Linked DNA regions of Drosophila melanogaster. Changing the gene in region 1 together with any one later gene gives a genetic interaction. Each region holds a gene or a part of one and is shown on either strand. Other genes may lie near its edges.

Region 1 (5,031 bases):
GCCGCTGATTTCCAGGCGTTTAAATCTTTCCCTTTGGGCATGCAGCCTTTTCGTACTTCTGATCGTGGTCTTTGGGGTTTGGGAAGGACATTTAGGCACCACCAGCAGCGCCTTTTACGTGGGCGTAGCCCACACAGCCTTCGGATGTGGGCTAGTGTGGATCGTCTTATCCTGCTGTTGGGGGCTTGTGCCAACCGTAAATGCAATACTGTCGTATCGCGTTATGTGGCCACTTTCACGACTCACATACTGTGCCTATCTGATCCATCCCATCATAATGTTCATTTGCTCTTCGCACATGAGCGGCACTGTTCACCTAAGCAATCCTCTCATCCTGACCTTGTTTTTAGGCAACGCCGTCGTGTCGTTCGGATGCGCCTTTGTCATATCCGCCTTTTTTGAGGCACCCGTTATCCGAATACTTAAAATATGTTTTAAAAAGTAATGGAATCTGAATACCTTCGTACGTCAACGTCAATTGGTTTTTTAACCTTTTGGCAGCCAATTTGTTATTTGTTGGTTAATATCCCATATATGTATCTTCAAAGTGTACTTGGTTCTTCTCCATTTTTTTGTGTCTGCAACGAAGTAATGCACAATCAGATGTCATCTTATGCTTATAAATATCTATAGGCTTAAATATGTTATATATTCTTGTTAATGAAGTAGGCAGCTAACTGGAGATACGTTTTTTTTTAATAAAATATACCTTAAACCAAAGATAATCAACATTTAATTTGTATACAAGTATTCTACATGATATCCGAGGGGTTCCGCTTTAAATTGGCTTGGAGTTTTTTGTAAAATAAACTTGACTTAGTTCATGGCAATAAATACATAGTCTGTACGTCAACGTGAACACCATTGTCACAACAATATGTTTATTTTATACGTAAAAAATGCCTCGATGATGCGATTAGCCATGACCAGGATAGATTACGGTACTGATGAGTTAAATGCAGAACTATATAACTTGCACAGGATTGTTTGGAACGCAAAAATTGTATTGGAAAGGTTGGAAAGAATTTTGCTTTAATTCCCCCAAAATGAAAATAAGTCTAATTTACAAGGCGCATTTTGAAATGTTTAAGTAAAAAATGTTTTAAATATTTTAAACTGCTCTATTTAGTACATCTTAATAAACTTGTTGTAAGACAATGTATTTTATTTTTCCATAAATTATTTTGGTATTGAATCCCAGACCTACAACGCAATGAGCATTTGGCTATAGCGATTATCTTGGACATATCGATGTTGGTGAACGCGGTACTATCGATAATACTATCGTATTTTTGCAATTCTATTGCAATTATTATTATTTCAATTCAATTAAATTATAGCATTGAAGTACCCTACAGAAAATATGTCTAATTTTTTTAAAACAGATCCCTAAGCGTTTTTCTTAAAACCCGCGTTCATAAGCAAAAGCTTCATGAAAGTGAACTTCACCGAGAAGAACAAGATTAAAGAGAGCAATAGTAAACAACAAGTGTCGTCGTCGATAAGCGTAATGCGAAGTAGTAAAAGTAAACGCATCATCAGTTTATCTAGAAAAGATAACATTGATTCCCGGGATGATATTCTTTCGAAAAGTGGACTACAGTTCTGTCGAAAAGGTGCGCAACTTTTTTCAGCAATTTGGTCCTGTGCCTGTGGTGAATTTGCAGCCTTGTCAGATGGTTTACTATTAAAAATCTGCTGGCAGTCCTGGAGTCTTCAAACCGTGGTCCCACCTTTAGTTAATTTTTACGGGGCTGGCAGGATGGTACCACATTTCGGAAGTATGAAAATGAGATGAAAACAAAATTTTCAAGTTGATATACAAAAAGATCAAAAATAATATAATTTCGTTGGACTGGAGAGCCAGTGATTTCGAAATCAGAATCTTTGGGAACAACCAAACGGAAAAACGGAAAGCTAAAGAAGACACTTCCGAAATCTAGGTAGCATTCACACAGCTTAAATTGCCAAGTTAAAGATTCATTAAAATCCGCTAAAATAAAATTTCCTAGCCCAACGGCTTCATTAAGTCGACGATTTCCTCAGTGACGGACATGGCGACATGAACTCATAATAACTTGAAGCTCACCCAAATTGATAGCAATCCAGCGGACTTAAGCGCAGTGATCTAAAGTAATCCAAAGGACCCAAAAATATTATTTTAGTTGTTTAACGCACTGATCGTTTTCAGGACTCAAGATAAAGAATTCGAGACGTTTGAGACATATTCAAGTACATTTTGGTCATACCTGTTAAGGAATTTCAATTACTATTTCTAATCCGTGTTCCTAGAGCCTTTGGTGAGCTGTATTCCTTACGTATTCACATCGTGACTTTGGCTTTGTTGACTAAATCTCCAAGTAGAGTCCGAAAGCGCCTTCAACACTTTTAGAGCCAGTACTCATTTCTACTGCCGTCAATTGGTGCTTGAGTAGAGCGCCAAAGATAAACAACCTGGGCGTGGAGGAGCATTGCAAACAGACGGTGATCTAATTCGGCGCCAGTCTGGCAGCCTATTCGCCGAAACGCGGTTAAAAATCCCTCTTCGTTGTAGAGGGATAAGTGCAGTCAAATCAAGAGGACGAGGAAAAGCAATAATATCCAGGCCTAGCTTGAAAATGTATAAAGTAGACAATATAATTTTTAAAATATTCATATAAAAAAAACTGCCCTGAAACATAATTACAATGCCTGAATGATAATCTCGAAGCCCTATAGCAATATCTAAACAGATTTTTTTTTTTATTTTACGTTCTTTTTTATATAAAACCTAAATATTAAAAAAAATAAAAAAAAACTGAATTTTAAAGGCATACATATTTTATATCAATCAGCCGGAAAAAATCGCTACCACTACTTCTGTAAATTAAATTATTAATAAGTAGTTGTATATATACGCATATATATGTATATTATATATATAAGAAATAATGCATACATATAAATGCATATATTGTAGATATATGTATAAATTTTTATATACATATACATATATAATATAATATAATTATTATTACTTATACGTATATATATATGCATTATTGCTTATTATAATAATTATACCTTAATAAGTAAAAATTTATAAATACATAGTTAAATATATACCTATGTTTGTAGATATATATTTTAATTGTTGAAAATATTTGCAATTTTTCTGTTGCTCTTTTTTGCACTTGTTACGGTAAGCAGAACTTGCATCCAAATGTACATGTCTAGTAAAGTACGGGTAATATATGGGAGTAATTTTCAGTAACGGAGAAGCAGCGATGTACAAGTGTTAAACACTTGCTAGTTCCAGGTGTGCGATGTACATGGATGACCCGACATTGAGCTGATATGTGACATCCCTGGATCCTTACATAGATCCTGGTGTTTCCCTTTTCCACGTCATATCATCATATTCGGTTTATAATTGCAGTTGCGGATTCTGGTATATACAGTAGGCAGCACCAGTGTTTTATGGTGTTTTCGGAATTTAATGGCCTTTTCCGTAGTTTCAAGGTAGTTGGGCGGTTTGTTATATAATATAAGGGGTTGTCATTAAGATAGAGACGTGACGTATGAGTAGACTGTCCATCAACTTCCATCGTATTATTGCTATTGTTTGTAAAAAATATAATTTTTGTACATATATATATGTCCATATGTATCTGTGTAAACTGCTCACGAAATCCTAATCCTTCTTGATCCGTGCCTGAAGAAAGCAGTATAGGATTCCTGCCTGAGCCATAACGTCGACTGTGCTGGCTGCCAGTGGATCCTTCTGCTTCACCTGCGTTTGGCCCGGCCTTAGCAAGGTTGGTCCAAACACCATGGCCAGATTGTGCAACGACATCTTGTTATCTGTCTCCTTTTCGTGGACTCTACAATAAGTAGTGACAAAAAAAGTTTATTTTAAACGTCCATGTTTATAAGAAACAAACCTTATTAAATGATCTAATATCGAAGTAATGGAGGCTTTGTTGGCCTGTGGCAACTCCTCAAAAACTTTTAGAAGCTCGTTGATTCGTGTGGATTCGTTGTTGTTGCTAAAGGCGCTGAATGTGTCGAAAAATCGTGGATAAAGTTGATCCGTGAAAAGGGCCTCGGGGAGCTCCCTTAAAAAAGTTTTCAGAATGCCAGTGACCGAATGGATGTCCACCTCGCGTAGCAACTGCTCCGCCTCATAGGCATCTGAAGAAAATAAAATTAAGTGCAAATTAGTAATAAGACATGGTTACCCATCAAAGCCATATATTCACCAGACTCAAAGGCCTTCTTCAGCTTCGCCAAATCAGAAGCGGAACCGCTGACGCGGTAGCAGCCAACCTCCAGCATCCCACGCCGCTCTACCTCCCGAATGCAGGCGCCTATGATGAACGGAATGTCGCGTTTTTCACGTCTGAATGAACAGAAATATATAGTTTTACATTAATTTATATTGCTCACAAAGTTTATTAAAATATTTAATTATTTCTTTACAATTTTCATTTCACGAAAAGGGGTGCTGTTATTTGATATATGGAATTATTATTTACTTTAATACTTGACTCATTTTGGCACCGAAGAGGGCTCCTGGCTTTGTGCTGCCGCGGAAGAGCTCGCCTGGTATAAAACGGAAGCTACAGCCGAGCTCTAAGGTCTCAGTAAGTTTAATTGACTTCGGCTGCGTTGTTTCTGTCAGCCAACTTAAACTCAACTATGGAATCAAGCGGAATTATTGATGTAAAACTTAATAACAAAGATCAACTTTTAACTCCCACCTTAAGTATGTGCTTGGCTTTAAGAAGCGGTCGCTCCTTAGCCTCATAAAGAAGAATGCGTACATTCTGGCTGCCCTCCAGTTCCAGCATAAAGCTTTCGTTCCAGAGCGGCGTTTGACTGCGACATATCTTCTTGGTGGTGGCCTTGCGAAAATAGTGGCCATAGGAGTCCACCTCGACGCAGATGTACAGGTCGTTCGCTTGCTCCAGTCCTTCCAATCCATGAACTCCCATGTACAGGTCCCCAACCAACAGGCTCTCGTCGTTAGTGTTACGCATAAGATATGAA
Region 2 (7,729 bases), on another chromosome or scaffold:
TGATACGGCTGCAGCTTCTGCCGGCGTTGGTAGCAGTACGTCCAGATCGCGATCACGGCCAGCTGAGTTAGCAGGAAAATGGTGGCAGCCGTGATAAGACCTAGTGACGAGGAGAGAGAGAGAGAGAGCGCACGGGGTTATTAGTATATTAGGCCACTAATCCGTTCATCTGCCAGCTGGCAAAGTGGTTCTTTAAGACGCGGTTTATGGCCAGCCGCCACATTGAAAGTTATTAAAGCTTACCAATGGCGTTAACGCAGAATCCGTGACCCTCCTCGTTGGCAGTGAATGTGGTCTCGTTACCGTCGTAAAAGTCTCCGCTTTCCTGCTTATCTTGCTTGAATCCGAACTTATCCGTAATCTGAATGGACTGAACCAGCAGCATGTCGCTGGGGGCGGACTTCTTTGAAGTGTCGATGTCGCGACGTGGTCTCGGATGATCATCTGTGTGCGAACAGGTTGTTGAAAGTTATAGCAAGAGAAGATAGCAAGACCATCAGATGATCTGTGATCTTACCTGTGGTGTTGAGCGATCTGCGTTTCCGGCCATAGGACAACAAGGACCTGAACTCCCCGCTGGTGTCCTCCTGCTCGCACTGGACGGGCTCGCAGCTGGGCATGCAGGGCGTGACCAAGGCGCGGAACTGGACCACCTCGCTGGAGGGGAACTTGAAGGCATCGAAATTGGAGAGCAGCATCTTGCCGGAAACCGATCCCTTGTAAATGGGACCCATTATGAAGTGGTCGGTTGGGCAGCCATTCGAATCGATTAAGGTAATTTCCGAGTTATCCACGCCATCCATGGCAACCAGCTCCCGAATGAAGATCTCGTAGGGGCTCTGCTCGTCGACGATCTCGAACTTGAGGGCCAGCGGGTCGCCCACCTCGGCGGAGCGCATCATGTCCGAGCCGTCGCGCGACGTAATCCGCATGATGACGTTGGGCGACTCCACAATTACCTCCTCGGACAGGGCCGGCATGATGTCGCCGCGCACATCCAGATCGACGCCATTGCTCACCGACTTGTTGGTCAGGTCGTACTGACAGGCCAAGGCCAAGCCCAGATCGGAGGATGTCACAATCATGTCGTGGTGCTGGATAATTATATCGTTCACATAGCGCCCGGCGGTGCTCTGGCGCACATTGCACTCCAGATCGTGGTAGTTCATGCGCAGCTCGAAGTCCAGCGCGCTCTTCACGTCCACCGAGCAGGACTTGGGCGATCCCTTGGCGTACACCTTGCCGTTGAAGAGCTTGGAGGTGCGGATGCGTGCCAGCATGTCCCCGCCGCCGCACTCGATGGTCACATTGTAGCAGGAAGTCAGTTCATAGGTCGACGCCTCGGGCACCTCCAGGAAGGGTTCCTGCACATCCGCCAAGGTGGCACGACTGTGATGGGATAATCTACACACCATGTCACCCGTGTCGTTGTAGTCGTACGAATGGCACCTGAGTTGGATGGAAATGTCGAGGATGGTGTGATATGATATCGCCTTCAATCAAATAGTCTAATTGGCGGACCCAAAGGGTCTAGTCCCCTTAAATCCCCCAAGATCAGGGAGAGCTGCTTATAATTGGACATGTTACTGACCTATATGGCGAGTTGAGGCACAGTTCCCGGCACTCGTCAATGCTGCTCACTTCTTGGTAAACCGAGTCCACCGTCTTCAGTATGCGACCAGGTAGACGTTTGAATTCGCAGAGCTTGTTGGGTTCATCGACACAGTGATTTTCAAGGTAATCCGACCCATCGTTCACCTGGAAGGCCTGGGAGCCGGCCAGAGTCAGGCGATCCAGTTCGCTCAGCTCGCAAGCTCCAGAGGTGCGATCGTAGTTGGCAGATCTACAGGGGACATATGTACATAGTTGAATATGGAATAATCGGTTTCGGGTTGGGGGTTGCAGTTTTCTGCTTCACTTGACTTTGTTGAGGGTGAAGTTTGGGTGTTTGGACTGTACTACTGGGCGCTACCTACCTGCATGTGAAGTCGTTTTCGCCGAGGCAGAGTTCAAAGCACTCGCGTCTTGACGCCACCGACACGGTACGCTTAACTTCCGTCTTGAGCTTGTAGTTCTGAACACGATCGACGTACCAGGCTCGGGAGCAGGGCTTCACGGCCAGGCATGATTTTTGGGCATAGATAGTGAATACGGGGAACTGCGACTTTGTCAGGGCACCTTCGTAATGATTGTGATTAAGTCGCGAGCTGGTTTGTTTAGCGGCATAAGTAGCTTACCCGGTAATTGATCAGCATGTGCCGAGAAGAGCACGCAAAGCCCGGTCTCGTAGTTCACTGACTGGCAGGTTTTGTTCTTCCTACAGGTGTCCAAGCAATCAGTGAGCATTAGCGTGCCCGGCTGGGAGTCCATCAGCTTTTCGGGCGCCGAGAAGACGTATCTGGCGAAGGACTTGTCAGTTGAGCAGCCATTAGGGTAGGGTAGCAACCACCCGTCTTTACTTACCCTGTCACAATTTCAAAGCCCACCAGCTCGGGATTGCAGTCCACGGGAGCATTGTCGTAGTAGATGCTATCCTCCTCGGAACCCAGAGAGCTGGACAAATCCGAGGCGGCCGGCAAGTCGAAGCCCGAGTTGCGGGTCTCCACGTTTTCTACGGGCCTCTCAGTCCTATTGATTTCGGTGGAGGTTTCTTTGGCGCCGGGCCACTCTGTCTTGTCCTTAATCTCCTCGGAGGCCATCACCTTACTGGCATTCGGAGCTGCGGCAGTCACCGATTCCGCAGCCTGTCTTCGGATTCGCAGGTGCTCCTTGGCCGTGGCCGCACTGTACAGCATTAGGGCCAGGAAGAGGTGTCGCAGTAGGTTTATCTTGGCCATATTTAGAGTATCTATCACTGGGCCTGTAAGAAACAAGCTGCTGCTGAGTATCTAAAGATAGATAGAGGGCTGTTACTTAAGATACATTATCTATCCTCAAACATTCCAAGCGTTCTGAACCAATAACTGCAAATGGGTATACCTGTTTATAGAACATCTTAAATAAGCAAACATTGTATTGGCCCATAATCGTAAGGCATAACGCTAAGCTTTATTTATAAAGCGAGCCAAATTGACTACGCAGGCACTGTCTCAATCTCTTCAAATTAATTTGTTTGCCATAAGGCGTAACGCGAATTACGAAGTCGCAGAAACAATATCACGGCCAGTTACTCCACTCCACTCCACTCCATTCTATCCAGTCGGATTGGATCCATTCCGTTGGGAAAACGGAGCTCACGTCGATGACCCCGTGCACTATTCACCAGATTCGCCACTATTCGCGATCCCCTGATTTTTTTTCTGGTCCGCTGAGCTAAACTCTTGCGCAACAGCCAAGTTAATGGGCATCGCTTATGATTGACGGTTGCGCTGTGGAGACCATCAAGGGGTCATGAGCTCTAATTTTTCGCCAAGTACCATGTAGAGCTTGTTTCGCCAGAACCTCAGGTACCCAAAGGAACCGAACCTTAGGGACTCAAGAAACCCGTAAGGAATGGACAATTTGGAAAATTATTAATACAAATACTTGCGAGGCGGGACAACAATTCAATTATAGAAAAGAATATTATTACGAAAGGGAATACATTTGGCTTTCGAGCCGCGTAATTGCCATTGGCGAGTATCTCGTTAGGAGCCCACTTGAAGCATGACTTATTACCATGATAACTGTATTAAGAGATATACATATATAAAGTTCCTAGCTGGCTAGCTGGCTAGCAGCACAGTTATTCCATCAGAATTCTCATGAATACCCATGTGTGCAGAAAACTTTGGTGGGTAATAGATACGGATAGGATGGCATACGGATACGGATAGCTGATATGTAGAAAACGCATGACTGCCGACGCACCAGACACACTAATCCGCTGTGGCGACTTTCCGACGGGCCGACGTTCCACCCAAAACTGAGCTTCTTCATTCTTTCAAGATGATATTTAGAAACATACCGTTAATTCATCGGGTGATTCATAATTCATAAACCCTGCAGCGGTCAAAACGAGCCGTACTTAATTAGAGATAAAATGCTTGAAAGACTTTTGAATTCTTCTTTATTCTTTTTCCCTTCCTCAGTGGATTCTGGCCCGGAATGGCATGAATACGAATATGTCGGGGTCCGGTGCACATGACCATACAGCGTTCGGCATTCGGCATTCGGCAGTGCCATGTAAAGAATGGCCACTCAGGAAGCTGCATTATAACGAGTCCATGACCATGTTATTGTACAAAAATCTTGTAGAAAGCGGCAGAAGAATTGGGTCAATGATTATCGTCAAAAGCTGTTTCTGCCGAGCATAGACACATGCATGTACATGGCTACATGGCTACATGGGCACCTGGGTATGGGTGTTACGCCCGCAGCGATCAGGTCGAGCCCCAACCCAATCCCAATCCCCAAACGAAACCCAAACCGAAACCGAAACCCAACCGGTATCCAGTGGGTATGGGGCATCGACATGAACAGCCCAAGGAAACAGCGCCGCCTAACTGTGTCGCTGATCACAATCGATTAGTGCGAACAGTCGTTTATTGCCCAAATTACTGTTAAATGATCGTAGTTTCTGCGGGGCCAAGAATGCGGGGCCCCACTAAGCGTTCTCCCAACCACTGTGGGTTGCGGCTACTGCAAGGTTTAGAAAAAGGAAACTGAGGGAAGAGGCCAACTATGCGTGGATGGGCAGTAAAAGTAGGGAGTGCTGAAGGACCTCGGAACTCCTCTTTACTAACTAGAGAAATGGGTTTTGAAATTGGTAACAAAGGTAGGGGGAGATTAGATGAATCCACCTTGCAAAAACATTCTTGTCATAATAATAACTAAGCATAAAGAATACTTCTCTTCAATGTGCCGCTTTGTGCATATGCTACTACTATCTAGATCAATCAATCAGTCGAGCTAACACATCACAATACCGCTTTTGGGTTCACTGTTTTGGGCCAATCAGCACTTGTTAACTGTTTAGCACTTTCGAACTTTTTCTTTTATTTAACTGCCTTTGTTTCTGCGACCTTATAGCTCTTTTGGGTTTTTTTTTAATGTCGAACAGCGTCTAGTCTACACCCCTTCTGACCAACTTCGGCTCCATTCACATTCAGCCCCAATTCCAGGTGCATGATGTAATTAAACGATCTGCCAAGCGTCAATAGAAATCCGATCTTCGAGAGGGACCGCGCCATAGGAAAAAACTTTCACCATTCTGAATGTGTTAATGACTTCATTTCTCCGGTGACTAAAGCCTGCCAAAAATTTAACGGCAGGTATCACACTGTTAGATTAATTTCCCATTCGGCGAAACTTCGAATGTGGCCAATTTGGGATTCGTGGGATAATCACGGGACCACTAACGAACTACTGTGCTAATTTCCAGCTCTTAGGATTCACTGACTCTGAGATTTCTGCCAATATGCGTGAGTATCTCAGAATTTAGCCAAGAAAGCCGAACCAAGTCAGTTGGCATCCGTCGGGGGGGGAACTCCCATTCCAGGACGGAAGTCCTAATGTTTTGACGGAAGCCGCAGACTGGCTGCAGAACCTTGAAGAATGGTAAAGAATTGCGAAGAATCGTGAAGAACGTATATGTAACTGGGGCTGGAGTCTTTCGAGTCTTTTGCATTCTGCACAGTTTTTCTCAGTTTGCTGCGTTTTTGCAGTTCACTTTTTCAGAATGATTGTCTCCGTTTTTCAACGCTGGCATAGGCATAGTCATCCGTCAGTCCGATCACTGCCGTTTAAGTAAACCGGTTAACGTTTTTTGTTCAGATTTTTCTTAGTTATTCCTCAGTCGGTGCATCTGGGCAGCATCTGCTGAGTAGCGGTTCGATCGGAGGTGGAAAAGGCATAGCTCTGTTCCCACACCAGTGCTCATGATGTGAGGCATTCTAACATCTTCGTTTCAATATCCATATCCATATTCATAGTCATATCCATATCGTCAAACAATTACCTAATTAACAAGTTCGTTGCCTGAGTCTTTCCCGAATTTCAGCCTAGTCACACTGAGACAAAACACTTTCGCAGCCCAAGATCTTTCGCAATGGGAACAAGGGAGCACCGAACTTGACCATTCGATGGTCGCCGCAGAACTGAAGTCTTCCACGCCGCCGAGTGACTTGTTATAAAAATTAGATAAAGAAGTTCTGGGAGCAGCTCGGCTGGCGAAGGAAGAGAGAAGGCGCGAGAGAGCGGGACGCAGTTCGTCGTGGAAGTGGAATTCTTGCAAAAGAAAGTCTCGGGGCGATGGATGTGGATGATGCTCGCAGACGAAAGAACCTCAAACAGAAAGAAATTGTTAGCATGGTAAACACACTCGTGCTTGGTAATGGTGAGGTATCACCTGTGGCTGGATCTCTACACTCCGAACTCGAACGTGTTGGAGATGCAACCATGGTGATTGCGGTCAACGATCGAGAACAATGTGCACCTGTCTGCGCTCTTTGGCTCTCTTTGGGCCTAACATAGGTAACATATAAAGTTGGCATTATGGCTCCTCGAATAATTTTCTTATGGGCCTGTTAGCGCCCAAGGGCTGCCAGAAAAGCGACGCGTAACAATGGGTTTTGGCTTATAACTGTCGCTTGCGTTTTTACTATTTTTCACTTTCACTAATGAGAAATGAGGAGTGTGGAGTTGGGAGTTGGGAGTGAGAAAGGTACGTACGCAGGTGTCGCGTGAAATCGCTCGTCACCCATTTTCTCCCATTCTAGCCTAATCGGCTTAGGCCAAATCCACCATAACGATTTGTGTGGGCTTATGTTCGGTGTTTACTTTTACTCCATTTCGACTAGCCCCCATCCCCATCCCCCATTCGCACTGGCTGGAGATCAGTGATATCTGCCGATCTCGAATAGCCCACTTTATTGGCGGGGACAGCGCTTTCGACGTGGATATGCCAGTATGCCAGACCAGAGCCAGAATGGCCCATCAAACGGTGTTTGATTTCCAAATTTATGGGTCAAGCCAATGCAAATCAGTTGGCCGAGTCCGTTCGCCGAGAAAACGGGTCGTGCTTTGATAACAAATTGGGCAAACAATAGATGAGTGGAGGCCAGATTTGGCCATTAATGCTATTCAAATGATATACATTTGTGAAAAGCGAGGAGAATCGGACCGAAGAAAGCCCTAGTTATTGAAAGATGATTCATGGCAGATTGCTAGGTAAGTGGCCCCTTGGAGCACCTACTTGGTAGTTAAGTATTCCCTAATTTAATCCATTTGGTCCATTCTTTCCTCGCATTTCAACTATTTTGAACTTTAATTAGTCCGGCTCTTAATAACTGACGGCACGAACGGAGCTTAGTTACATATATTGTATATTCTGTCTGTCGGCGAAGCTGAAACAGTTGCGAGATAAACGAAACCTCTTCCTAATTACAAAGTAATGGGCACTTATTGAAATGCTTTTTCTCATTATTTTTCACGTTCTTCCGTACTTAAGGTGCGATCCAAAGACCGCACATTCCTACTTTAAAGCGATTCTTTCTCCGTTTAACTGCGAATGATGTACAAGTTATGGTGGAAATTGCTTCTCCTCCAGGCTTCTGGGTGTCTATCTCTGGAGAGTCGCCCAGATCCACGCATAGTCGGTGGCTTCCCAGCCGATATCGCCAACATTCCGTACATAGTGTCCATCCAACTGTACGGCATCCACCATTGTGGCGGCTCCATAATAAATAACCACACCATCCTAACGGCTGGCCATTGTCTGAACGGAGTGCCACATCGCCTGCTGAAAGTT
Region 3 (4,797 bases), on another chromosome or scaffold:
TTCAAATCGGACACTTTTCAATGAAAGCGAATCAAGTGCGAAACGAGCTAGCATTTTGATGGACAGGTTGTGCTGTTGCCATGCTATTAGCCTCTGGAGCTATGGCAGCGATCTAAAGGCGACGAACAGGGCGTATACTTAATAAGAGTAATTCACATGATCAAAATGGTTTGATAGAGCCACGCAAAATCGTGGGATAAACTGTACTGCCAGCCAGATAATCTTCTTGGGGGAAATGCGATGTGTAGAAAGCGGCTCTCATCAGCTGATGATATCATCAGCCAATTTCCTTCGATAATTTCTCAACCCAATTTCGTGCATCTTGTGCATAAATTATCATGAAGCCAATCTAAGATCAAGCGGCATTAGCCCCAAAAAAAGGTGCCAAAACAGTAGAAGAGCTAATCGCTGGCCAAAGCCAAATGCAAAGTAATCCAAACAGTTATGTTATTTCCCATCCGTCGACCATTGTTGGGTAGATCTGTGCTAATTGCCAGCCCAAACAGCCAACTGACCCAAAAGTTGACAATCGCAAATAAACATAAATGGTAATTTGGCACACCGAAAACCAAACAGTAAAACTGTTGGCCCAAATGAGGCTTACAGACGGACAACTCTTGGAGAGATGGACTACGTTGTCTTGGCAATTGAAAATGCGGCGGTCCATCAATCAATTATCTTGGTTAAACTGAAACGGAAGCGGTTTTTCTGCCTGACAATCACAGTCGCAATCTCGCTACTTAGAATCCATTTCGCGATTTCTTCTCGACGACTACGATGATTAGCCATTGATGACCACTGTCAGCCGCAAAAGTAAATTACAAAATGGAGGGAATAGAAAAAGCATAAGCGCACATAGCCTGCAAGCTAGAAATCAAATGCAAAAACAAATGCGCGGACCTGCGCCAAATGTCAAATTAAATCTATCAATTTCACGGCAGAATGAACGCCCAAATGCGGTGGGTCTCGTATAGAGCCCATATAAATTCCGCATGGCCAGACATTTGAAATTGCTTTGCTGACACCAAAGTGTGTGGGGAGTGGCTAGGTGCAAGATGCTTTAGATACTAGAGGCACACAGCTGGCTCAGCTGGCTCAGCCTGGCTACCTGGTGTTGTGGCATTTGATGTTGGTTGCCTGTAATTGCAATGGGAGAACTTTTTGCAGAGGCTAATCAACGCTAACTGCAACAAACAAGCTGGACAAACAAACGCAAATTGTTTTTTAAGGCACGGAAGCCAAGGCCCGGCGAATATTAAATGCACATGACAAATTGCCAGGCCGAAGGCGAAGGCTCTTGAAGATTCTCTTTCTTCATCGTGGTTTTCTTGCCTGCATGGTCTTTTCCCTGCCATTTGGCGGCAATTAAAGCGCACGCTTCGTCTAATCAACGGCGACTGGCAGGCTGCGTAAATGAATAGCTGCCAGGCGAACGAAGGCTGTGTTGTAACTGTCATGTCATCGTGATGATGCCATGATGCCAACTCCCTAGCTTTCTGGCCCACAACTGCAGAGCCGGAGCCGGAGCCAAGTTTGAGAGCAAAGCCCAGTCATGGCCAGGGCAATTATTGCGGGCAAATTTAAATACCAGCTCACCGAAGAAGAACCCTCGCTAGCCAACCAACACGGTAGCTGACACTCAATGGATCATTTCAGCCGGTGGTCTTTGGCTTTCTTTGGTTCTCTGGCTTTAGCCTTGCTCTTCAGATCATCAACGCCTTTTATCAGGGTCGGGGTCCTGTTCTAGTATCTCTTTTTCCCCACTCTTTGCTCGTGGGTTCTATTCTGACACGTTGCATTGTGGATTTCACACCACATCGGGGGCTTAATTATTTTAATTGCCCGCCCTGTGTTCACTTTTAATTGTGGGGACTCTAGATGATCTATAAAAGACAGCACAAGACAACGAAACTTAATGAATCTGTTGCCAATTAATGCAAATGTCTGGATGCCATCACAATTGCAATCTGGATACATTATTTTTGATTGCAGCGAGAAATAGTAAGTCTAAGAAGCATTCGGCGGCCATTGTCTTTACATTTATTATTTTTTCTGCAACTTGTGTGAATATATACAAAATTTGTAATTTGATTACAACACTTTTTTTCTGTGCCCTTTAAGGATGCATTAATTCATTTTTGAAGTATAATGTGAATTTTTTTATTGATCGACCGAGCTACTTAGTCCTTATCTAAGGTCATTTAATACTGTATCTTTTTATATTCACAGTTCGAAATCTTCTGTTATCTGAGAGCAAATATTTAAGGAAGAACAACTACAAAAATTAAAAAAATATTTTTGATTCCAAAGGTAAGTGAACCGCTATGGAAAGCACTTGAATTATTTATTTTGAACTCAATGGGGATTGGGGGAAATTCTGTAATCAATCGACCCAAGGTTGTTCTCAAAGCAGATTGTTTAACGAAGAAGGAGATTTCTTGCCGATCACTGTTTCTGAATTTCTTACTTGTCATTGCGCATATTACGTGTGTGTGGTAAAAGTTAATAAACACTCACTTGGCCAGAATATTTTGCAACTGCAACTGTAACTTGGGGTCGTGAGTTCTGGAAGTGACCGAAAAGTATCCTTTCCTTTCGGATTGTCTTGTTCTCCTGCCTTTTTCGGCTATCGATGCTGAGTCACGCTTCACTTTCGAGATGAGTTTTATTCATGTATGTAAATGATCACTGTTTGCTGATTACACACATTGCACATCGGTGGGTATTGAATGTTGCACTTGACTTTGCTGGTAGGTTGCTCCTCGTCAAAGCCGCGGACTAAAGTTCCTTGTAACGCGATTCGGTGCTTTTGTGAATTATTTTTTGGTTGCCAAGTCGCGAGATCGCTGCGAGCTTGACCGTCGAGAGTTGACCGAATAACTAAAGCAAACTCCGGGCTAATCAGTCGTTATATAAGTTGCTCACGGAGGAGTTTTGAGTTCTTCAGTTGCCTTTCTTTAGCTGCTTTGCTGCGCTGCTCGCGTGCGTTCGCCTTGACAATGGCCAACGATATAAAGTGCTGCCGAGCATAGAGCTCAAAAGAAAGCCAAAAAACACACAAAGCGGTCGGGCAAAGAAAGCCAATGCCAAAGCCAGAGAAATGAGTGGCAAACACAAACGGCTCAAAGCCAAACTCTCGTTTGAGTGAGTTGTGCTGAGCTGTGGGGGAAAAGCGAGTGGGTATTGCATTTCTCTCGGGATGACGCTCTTCTGGGGCTCTCTTCGCTTCAGGTGCTCTCTTCTGGGGCACATGTGGCATATTTCATTGAGTCCCGTCGCGGTCCATTCATAATTTCGATTACCAAATCCCCCGGCTGAAACGGAACCACGAGGGTTCAAAACGGGCACACACGACGTTCAATATCATTAATTAAATTGAAATCAGTTCTCGAGCTGCGAGCTGAGATCGTAGAGAAGGAGATCGAACTGGAGATCTAGAACCGGGGAAAAATCAATTTGGCCCATGAGATCGCACTTAGTCGAGTTATTGGTACATGAAAATTATGATATTACTTCTTGGCCAACTTGAATTCTCATTTTTCACTCGTCTTGTGGTCAGCCAGGCAGTGTCGTGCGTTTTATGCTCCATAAAAGCTGTCCAGCACCGCAGTTTAAATGAATTAGGAGCCCAAAACGAAGTCAACTTGAATAGAAAGGTGCAGCAGAATCGAGGAAGAAATCAAAACGTCCATCAATTGATCACACAGCCCCTGAAGATGCCAAAGAAAGTTACAGATTTGTCGGACAGCGTAGATCAACAAATGATTTAATAACATTTCTATTGAGTCATTAACATGTTAGGCTCATAAATTGAACGATTGGAACGATCAGCCAATGTAAACATAGGCGATCACAAAACAATCGATACAAAGGGACACCGAAAAATGAATCAATTTGGGATCGGATTTTGGATTGTTGTGGAATCGGATGACGGCAGACGGGAGACCTTTCGCTTTCAACGAAGCTGTAACTGAAAAGCGGCACGATCTTCTGCATACTGATGAGTCCACGAGGCGTTCGTCACAATCTGGAGAAAGCTAAGCCAAATCAAAGAAATCCACAACTGAAGACAAAGCGACAATTGCTAAATGAAATGTCGCGCAAGGAAGCGCAAATTGTAACTCTTGCAAAGCGGCAATCAAATGTCGCCGGAAATGTTTACACAAAGCGCTCGAAAATGCCCAAAAATGTTTTGAAGAGGTGGAAAAAAAGGGGATTGAAGGGGTTAGAAAGGCAATTTGCATTTCACCGTGTGACAATGACAGCTGCTTAATGATGATGCACGTTGATTTGCGAAGATTTGGAAGATTTGGTGATCTGTATCTCGGTGATTTTTTTCTTTGGTGTGACTGCGAACAGGTGCATTTTTTTTTAGTTAGCGAGAACCGAGGCTTCGTTATTGCCGTTGCTTTCGTTTTTCGGGCGAAAATGAAAACAGTTATTTCCGAAAATAGCCCGCATAGCAGATGCACATGTTTCATCTGTCCCATAAAGTTTGTTGCTTAAGTCTTTAGTTATAATTTTTTCTTTGGACGCCTTATTTTAACTTTTTGAGTGTATGCTTCAAATTTTATATTATTCCCCTACTCAGCACAGCATTTGAATTGAATGGAATCCCCTCATTCTCAGCTTTTCTTTAAGGGTTTCTTGTAGAAGTTTGTGCGGATTGGAACAGCATCCGTTCACGTATTCGAAACGCTGCCACTGATTAAGTTGCTGATGCACCTCAACCAAGAAAATGTGCCGAAAACAAACAAAGCCTGACTACAAATTTGGTTAAAAAGCCAAATCGACGCT

Evidence for each region.
Region 2: of tyn (region 1) and neo, changing one suppresses a phenotype caused by changing the other (phenotypic suppression), as found in Drosophila melanogaster (one study listed by BioGRID).
Region 3: of tyn (region 1) and nyo, changing one suppresses a phenotype caused by changing the other (phenotypic suppression), as found in Drosophila melanogaster (one study listed by BioGRID).

The regions. Positions count from the first base shown.
Region 1 is NC_004354.4:138,417-143,447, reverse strand, and holds the start of tyn (trynity), read right to left. Parts: upstream 3,131-5,031; 5' UTR 3,106-3,130; intron 2,727-3,105; exon of another isoform or gene 2,612-2,726; 5' UTR 2,250-2,611; exon of another isoform or gene 1,251-2,249; intron 1,241-1,250; exon of another isoform or gene 1,133-1,240; intron 718-1,132; exon of another isoform or gene 579-717; 5' UTR 446-578; coding exon of another isoform or gene 1-445. Other genes in the region: CG17707 (uncharacterized protein), read left to right, coding at 1-445; RhoGAP1A (Rho GTPase activating protein at 1A), read right to left, coding at 3,674-3,863, 3,924-4,173, 4,242-4,381, 4,518-4,678, 4,743-5,031.
Region 2 is NT_033777.3:29,817,489-29,825,217, reverse strand, and holds the start of neo (neyo), read right to left. Parts: upstream 6,088-7,729; 5' UTR 5,939-6,087; intron 2,889-5,938; 5' UTR 2,838-2,888; coding exon 2,464-2,837; intron 2,399-2,463; coding exon 2,238-2,398; intron 2,179-2,237; coding exon 1,977-2,178; intron 1,844-1,976; coding exon 1,592-1,843; intron 1,450-1,591; coding exon 518-1,449; intron 445-517; coding exon 244-444; intron 101-243; coding exon 1-100. Other genes in the region: CG7829 (uncharacterized protein), read left to right, coding at 7,490-7,729.
Region 3 is NT_033777.3:31,541,248-31,546,044, reverse strand, and holds the start of nyo (nyobe), read right to left. Parts: upstream 3,014-4,797; 5' UTR 2,518-3,013; exon of another isoform or gene 2,468-2,517; intron 1-2,467.